Linked DNA regions of Mus musculus. The protein of the gene in region 2 interacts with the protein of the main gene of each other region in a pairwise test. Links are inferred from orthologs where the notes say so. Each region holds a gene or a part of one and is shown on either strand. Other genes may lie near its edges.

The links.
Region 1: the proteins of Eif3e (region 2) and 0610040J01Rik interact in binary tests that used the Homo sapiens proteins (3 or more experiments, as listed by UniProt). The two-hybrid records come from large-scale screens. The link is inferred for Mus musculus from reciprocal best matches to the Homo sapiens genes EIF3E and PGCKA1.

Annotation. Positions count from the first base shown.
Region 1 is NC_000071.6:63,811,101-63,814,700, forward strand, and holds the start of 0610040J01Rik (uncharacterized protein C4orf19 homolog), read left to right. Parts: upstream 1-1,394; 5' UTR 1,395-1,495; intron 1,496-3,600. UniProt on the Homo sapiens protein: Acts as a tumor suppressor. Acts as a tumor suppressor for colorectal cancer cell proliferation by targeting KEAP1/USP17/ELK1/CDK6 axis.
Region 2 is NC_000081.6:43,275,682-43,280,178, reverse strand, and holds part of Eif3e (eukaryotic translation initiation factor 3 subunit E), read left to right. Parts: intron 1-1,756; coding exon 1,757-1,871; intron 1,872-4,497. UniProt on the Homo sapiens protein: Component of the eukaryotic translation initiation factor 3 (eIF-3) complex, which is required for several steps in the initiation of protein synthesis.

The DNA.
Region 1 (3,600 bases), on a different chromosome or scaffold from region 2:
GAAAATAAGTTCCCTGTGTACCCGTGCAAGGGGTACCCTTGTGGCTGGAGCAGGAAATAGCCAAGGACTAGTGCCGCTCGGGAATTCCCAGGTGAGTGAACACGACCTTGGAGAACCTCTCCAGATACCTTCACACACACACATACACACACACACACACACACACACACACACACACACACACACACACACCGTTGATCTGAGAATTCCCATATATACCTCCCCCCACCCCAAAATATCTTTAAACATGGCAGGCAGCATTGGAAAGCTTTGGTGATATTGTAAACAACAATCAGATGCAATTGTGTATGTAGTTCTCAACAAAACAATTACTTTAAAAGAACTTTAAATACCCAAGAGTTAAAAGAAAACTAAAGGCATTATCAAGTTTCTTACCTTCCTCTCTTTACTACTACTGAGTTGAACCTCAAAGTTTCTCCCCACTGACTCTAAAAACCCAAAACAAATTCCAAAGTCTCTTTTTGATCCGAAAAACCTAATTCATATATAAATGGACCAGTATCCCATGGAATTTCTGACAAGGCTGGAAATTGAACCTGAGCATCATTTATTCTAACAAGAAATTTTTTTCTTCAAATCAATAAATGACATTCAACAACGTATGATTTCCCTCGTAAATCGACATTTGAAAGCACAAAGGTATTTTAGCACTAAAAAGGACAAAAAAACCACTGAGTGTTCTCCCATAGAGCGTGGCAAATGCCTGTGAAGACAGCGGGGATGTCCAACTCAAAACTCGCTGGAGAAAATTAGGTCTTTGGGAAGTTCTCTCAGTTGCTTCTCCCCGCATTGCCTTTTAATCCTCTCACTGCGAGCCTTGAGCATGGAGAGGAAAGAGAGGAAGCTAGATGGCGCAATTGCTCAACACATTTTCCTGGCTTCTGGAAATGCCAGCTCTCCACAGCTTCTGGGCCAGGTGGACCGAAGACCGAAATCTTAAACCGAATTTCAAGATTAAAGCACCGGTTCTCTACCCTTCGTAGGTAAAGTGTGTTGGGTGAAGTGTCCCATATCCTGACACTCCAAGGGAAGGGGTCTGAAACCGGGGTTCTTTCACGTGTCCCACTAATAGCCTTTGGGGCACAGGCAAGTTTGTAGCCCCTAGGAACGACCGTCACTGCAGCGTCTGAGCAGATTGTCTAGCCATCGGGCGGGCGACAAGCAATGTGCGCTCGATCTAGCAACTAATGCGGGCTGGCTCGCTGACCACTCACTCAAACATAGATCACCGGACGTCCCCTTGTCCCTGTCGCCTGCGCACGCGGGCCAAGGCGCAGGTAAAGGGTTACCCTTGCCTGGGAGGCTCGCCCGCTCCCCGTCCACGTGACGCGGCGGCCCAATGACCGCAGCCCGGGCTGAGGCTGCAGCGCGACAGGCTCCGGGCGTCGCTGACCCACTCGCGTGTCCCAGCGCGGACGCCCGAGGCCCACGAAGCCATGGGCGCCGCGACTCTGGAGCCGCCGCCCCGCCGCAGGTAAGTACGGTCCGGGACTGCGCCGGGCTCCTCCGGGAAGAGGGCTGGTCCTGGGCGGGAGTCCCGACTTTGCTTCTGGGCTCCCCTTCTCTCAAGGGGACGCGAGGAGGAACTATGAGGCAAGGCAATGGATGATTTGATGACTTCAGGAGAAGTCACGGAATTCAACCTAGGCATGCTAAGAGTGGCGACAAGAAACAGGTTTCCAAACTAAAGGCGCTGGTGCTGGTTGGGTAAAATGGTTTATTTTTAAACTCCCAATTCCTGAGCTCTCTGCTGTTCCTGGGAACTTAAACCTGGACAAATTGTAAGAGATCTTCCCATCTCCCTGTGTCCCGGGGTCACCATATTTACGCTTCTAGGGGGGTTTTATTGATTAAAACGGGAAAGGAATTTGATCGCCCCCGCCCTTCTTTGAAATGTCCTTGGGTTCTGGGGTTGGGTCTATGGCGATGGTGAGGGTGCATGAAGGGACAACGACGCTGTGGTGTTCCGCAAGAGCCTGGGACTAGGAAAGTGGGCGCCAAAGAGAGAGAGCTAAATGGTCGCAGGCTGTAAATATTTAATAGACAAATATCTACCAGGTCAATCGCCTGGGTCTTTGTAGCCTGGACAGCCCTGATGAGGTGAGATTATATATATATATATATATCACCAATGCAGAATTTTCCAGTAATACCAGGCAGATATCAGGGGGACTTTTACCCACTCCCAGAACCATAATTAACCTTAAATGCAAAACAAAATAATTCCATCTCCATCGACTCTGAATGTCTACTTTTCCATCCTGGTATAGACATTTGCGCGATGAATGTAGAGGAAGTGGGTGTTCCAGGAGTCACTTCTGTGCTGGTTTCTGCGAGAGTGTTTGTTGGTTGTGGCCTGTGGCTGATTGCCTTGGGTGGCTGTAACTCAGCTATGGTGAAGAATATCGCTGGAGAAAAGAAAGTCTTGGAACCGTGAATGGAAAAGAAGTGGGAGTAGTGGTTATTTTTTAAAGGCAGTTGGTTCTGTATTTGTTGAAGTTGTTTCCTCCCACATAATTTTCCAGTTAATACTATCTTAAGGAGGATACAATAGTATTTCCCTTATACTTGTCTAGTTGATACTATTTTTAGGAAGAAATAATAGTATCTCCCATATATGTTTCCAGTTACTACTGTAAAGAGGAGATGGTAGCTCTCCTCATCTAAGCACCAGTGCCTCTGAAACACCTTGCTAGCCTCTTTGGTAAAAATCCTTGTCCTAGGACAGGTCTCCACAACAACAATATGGAGCCTCGGTCCTTTAGGAGAGTTCTGGGTTGTTAGTGTTTCTGGGAAGTATGAAGAATCAGTAAACAGCCAGCTCCAAGGCTCAGTGGGAGATTCAGAGGTGACAGGCAGACACAGGAAGGTGATGTGTGGTTCATTTCTCCTGCTCACCAACTCTTGCCCATCTTTTGATCCTGCTCCTTCACTTCTTCTACAATCAATGTTTATTTCATGCCCCCTGGGGACTCATTACCCAGGAAGGTTTTGATACCTAGTAATTTCTAAAGATAAATGTGGTTCATGTTCACTATATTCCAAAGAAATTTTGCAGACCTGGAATTTAAGATGAAACAAACGAACAAACAACAAAACAAAACAAAACAAAACCCTTGCTTACTGTCTCAGCACATTCTCTTTCCTAAAAATGGAAAGATTCCCTAACTTCTGACCCAGCACTTCTCAGAACCTGAAACCTGTGTTCTCAATGCTGGGACCAGGAGCCAGTCTCAGCCCAAGGGCAAAGCAAGCCCTGACCTCTTCCTGTCACTGGTGGAGGTGCCCAGTAGCCCACTGCCCATGTTTCTTAGAAAGGACTCCGGCTTTTTGCGTGACTGAGTACTAGCCTCCTTAGAGCTAGTTTTCCCTCCCTAGACAGTGTCTTACATGGACCCACTTCTACAATTTCCCAGGGACCCTGATTGGGCTCGTTTGGGTTCTTGCTTAAAGAACCTGTCTCATTTCTAAATTTGATCATTAGAGTGATTGTTTGGTTGCAGATAAACCCCCTTGATAATTCAGAAAAGAACGCTGTCAAGATCTAACTGGACCATCATAGGGAAGGAAGGACAGGCG
Region 2 (4,497 bases):
GAGTATTAACAAATGTATACCAGCACCCCTGGCTTCACGAACTAATTCCTGAGTCATCTTTCCATCTGTGAAAGTCACTGGCCCTGTGACGGCAGTTATGAATACTGACCATCAGTGCTGATGGTTAATTTGTTGTAGTCTACCAGTTTGTTCATCCATTCTAGTACTAAACGACTGTGTACTGTAAAGATTTTTGGGAATTATACTTTAAATAGATGTACTCTTGTTTTAATATCTTACAAAGTTGGTGAGTCAAAGCATGTATGATGTCAGGAAATAAAAACCTTTTTTTCTTTTTTGGGGGGGAGGGTGGGTTTCAAGACAGGGTTTCTCTGTATAGCCCTGGCTGTCCTGGAACTCACTTTGTAGACCAGGCTGGCCTCGAACTCAGAAATTCGCCTGCCTCAGCCTCTGCCTCCCGAGTGCTGGGATTAAAGGCGTGAACCACCACGCCCGGCTTAAAAACCTTTTTTCTTAAATGACTGTGTTCTTGCTAGTAGGATTTGAATGTTCTGTTTAGTCTTCATTCACACTAAGACTGATACTCTCAGGTTTTTTGTTTTGTTTTTTTATCATAGTTTTTATATATACTTCCTTTTGATTAATGAGAGCTTATGTTGTTTTGTTCATTTGATTATCTTGATTTGTTAGTGACTATTAAGATGTTTTACCCATTTCAGTTGGATTGTCATTTGTTACTGTTTTGTTGGAGTTTTATATCTAATTTGGAACATTCACGTTTGAGTCTGTGTTACATGGTTGTGAATTCTTACTAGATCTTTCTTTCCTTTGCAAGATTAAACTCAGGACATGAGTCTTATTTGGCTAAGTATCTCTCAGGTTCCTAACATATCCTAAGTAGCCTTCATGTTTGTGAGTCTATATGTATAATGTATTTCCTGTGAGTTAATATGTGTTTCCAGAACCCTTTGCAAAGCAAAACCTTGTCATGAGGTTGTTGACTTACAAAATTGGTTCTAGTTTAATTTTAGAGGTACAGATGGAGAAGCATTTAAATGGTTGCAACTCTTAAATGAGACAAATATAAAGGTAAAGGAGTGGCCACATCAAGGAGTGGTGGGTAGTCATCATGGGGATGCAAAGGATAGTAAGGAGGTAAAATATTTAAGAGCCTATTCCTAATTACCTGGGTGTGGAGAAGAAGAGAAGGTGTGGATACTTTTGTGTATTGCATATCTTTCCTAGAACAAGTAAAAGATTGCTTGATAAAACAATAATTGAGATCAGAAGTAAATGGGAATGACATTGATTTTCAAATATTTGTGTAGACAGGATATTTTGTGTAAATTGAGTGCTTCCTATATTGGTTTCTTTTCTTTTACAGTGTGTGTGTGTGTGTGTCTGTGTCTGTGTCTGTCTGTGTCTGTATATGGACAAACTCACGCAGGTGATCCTGGGTGGTGAATCAATGCCTTTATATACATATACACTACACCAGTGTTCTTCTACTGACCTGTATATCTAGCCCTATGACGCTTTCTTTAAGTAAAAATGGTGGGTGGGGGGCCCTAGGGTGCATTGGTTAGCACAGCACATGCATGGAGGTCAGAGAACAAAGGAGCACTTTGTGAGGTCATTTCTCTTCATTTTTGTGTGGCATTCAGGGATTGAAACCTGTTCTCCTGACTTCCCAACACATACACAGACACATACTTTTTCAAAATAGTTTCGTGAAGTATGGTTTTTAAATAAACTGAAGAATTTAAATATTCATTAAGTTTTTTTTTTCTTGCAGATTTATAATGAAAAAGAATTATTACAAGGAAAATTAGATCTTCTTAGTGATACCAATATGGTGGATTTTGCTATGGATGTTTACAAAAACCTTTATTCTGATGATATCCCTCATGGTAAGTTTGTTTTTCATTTTTTATTGGTTATTTTATTTATTGATATTTTAAATGTCATCTCCCTTCCCAGTTTCCCCTCCATAAACCCCCATCCCCTCCCCCTGCCTCTATGAGGGTGCTCCCCAACCTGTCCACCCACTCTGTCTCGGCACTCCTGCATTCCCCTACCCTAGGGCATCAAGCCTCCACAGGACCAAGGGCGCTCCCCTCTCATTGATGCCAGATAAAGCAGTCCTCTGCTACATATCCAGCTGGAGCCATGGGCTACATATACCACCTGCCATGTGTACTCTTTGGTTAGTGGTTTAGTCTGTGGGAGCTTTGGAGTGGGTCTCGTTGGTTGATACTGTTGTTCTTCCTATGGGGTTGCAAACCCCTTCAGTCCTTGCCCTAACTTCTCCGTTGGGGTCCCTGTGCTAAGTCAGATGATTTGCTGCGTGCATCCTCATCTGTATTGGTCAGGCTCTGGCAGAGCCTCTCTCTCAGGGACAGCTATACCAGGGTCCTGTCAACAAGTGCTTCTTGGCAACAGCAGTGGTGTCTGGGTATGGTGTCTGCTGATGGGATGAATCCCTAAGTGGGGCACTCTTCTGGATGGCCCCTTTCTTTCAGTCTGTGTTCCACTCTTTGTCCCTGCACTTCCTTTTGACAGGAGAAATTCTGGATTAATATTTTTGAGGTGGGTGGGTGGTCCCATCACCTCATGGTAAGTTTTATTGTTAGAACTAAAACTTGACAGTAGCTGAAAATTTATGTTTTATGATACGTGGAAGAACTGTAGCCAAAGACATTTAGTGCTTGTGTTCTTAAAGTCATTGGATGAAAAGGCATAGGAAGGTTACAAAGATGCTAAGGGGTGTTTTCTTCCTGTGAAATCTGAATGGACTTTAAACATGTTGATCAGATAGATATCTTCAGATCATAGTGTGTGCCATCAAAGTGGTACTCTATGTAAAAGTTGTATTAAATTCTGTCAAAGTTGTATTCTATAGGCTGTCGGCTTAGGATTTTCTGACGCTGCTGCAATTTTTTGGTCTCAATGAGACTTCTCAAGGTGTGGTCACTAAGACTAGCATCATGAATTAGCTTGGAAGAATTCCTTAGAAACACAGATTTTACACATAGTCCAGAAGTGTTTGATTAGGAATGGCTGAGGCCCTGAAGTAAAGTTGGGAAACTATTAGGAGAGTGGTTTCCAAACTAGTTTAGTACAGGAGATAATTGTTGACAATGAAAAGAACAGAAAACTGGTCCCTGAAGTATTACAAGCTGGGTGTGGTGGTACACACCTCTAATCCCAATACCCTGGAGGCATAGGCAGGTGATTTTTCTGAGATTAAAGATAGCCTGATCTACTTATCAAGTTCCAAACCTGCCACAGTTATGTAGTGCCTTGCCTCAAAAAATACTATAGCTTCCACCTCACCCCCGCCCCACCTCCCCCTGTGCATGGAACAAATTCTGGCTACAGCAGAGTGTTCTTTGTTTAAAATTGCTATTTTTCAGTATTTGATAACAGGTTCCTCCCATCCAGCAACCCCCCTTTTTTGGATATGAGCTTGGAAGGTTTTCTGGGGTTTTTTGATTATTAACATATGTCTTAAGCACAGAGGTTTATAGAGAAATGTGTAGGGAAAGAAAAGGGCAGCCTATGTTATGCCAGAGGTGGCTCATAGAGTAAAGCGTTGGCTGCGGACGCCTTATAACCTGGATTTGCTCCCTGGAGCCTCCAGTAGAAGCGAGAACCAACCCCAGTGCTCACAGATACTCCCCATCAGTCACCCAGAGAGTAGCTACATTTAACATTCAGTTTGGAATAAAAGCAGTGACCATGTGTGGAGAAAGAAGCACTGCTCTAGGTTAAGAGGGCTATGTAATGCAGACATTGTTGAAGTCAGTTAGCCTTTTTGAATTTGTACGCAGCAACTATTTAACGTTATTTTGTGATGCAAGTAAAGGGTTTTTTTTTTTCCTGGATTTTTGTATTTTTTTAATTATGTGTATGAATGTTGGCCTGCCTGTATGTTTGTACACCGTGTGTGTGCCTGGAGCCTTAAAAGGCTAGAAGAGGGCTGAAAGGGTTTGCAGCCCCATAGGAGGAACAATATGAACTAACCAGACCCCCCAGAGCTCCCAAGGACTAAACCACCAACCAAAGAGTACACATGGTGGACTCATGGCTCCAGCTGCCTATGTAGCAGAGGATGGCCTAGTCAGTCATCAATGGGTGGAAAAGCTCTTGGTCCTGGGACGGCTCTGTGCCCCAGTGTAGAGGAATGCCAGGACCAAGAAGCAGGAGTGGGTGGGTTGGTGAGCAAGGGGAGGGGCTGGAGATTTTCAGAGGGGAAACCAGGAAAGGGGATAACATTTGAAATGTAAATAAAGAAAATAATCTAAGAAAAACAGAAAAAAATCTGAGGTATTGTGCTAATAGATATTGTGTAGATTTTATCTTTATTTTGATGGTGGTATAGTAAATAGGATCTATGGAATTTAGTTTGTGAAATTAGTTTGTTTATAGTAAAAAAAGGTCTTGACTAGATTAAAATTATAGGCTACATAGTAATAATATAAAAACCCCTTAGTGTAGTGACTGCACAAAAATTCTAGGGTAGTAGTAGTTGAA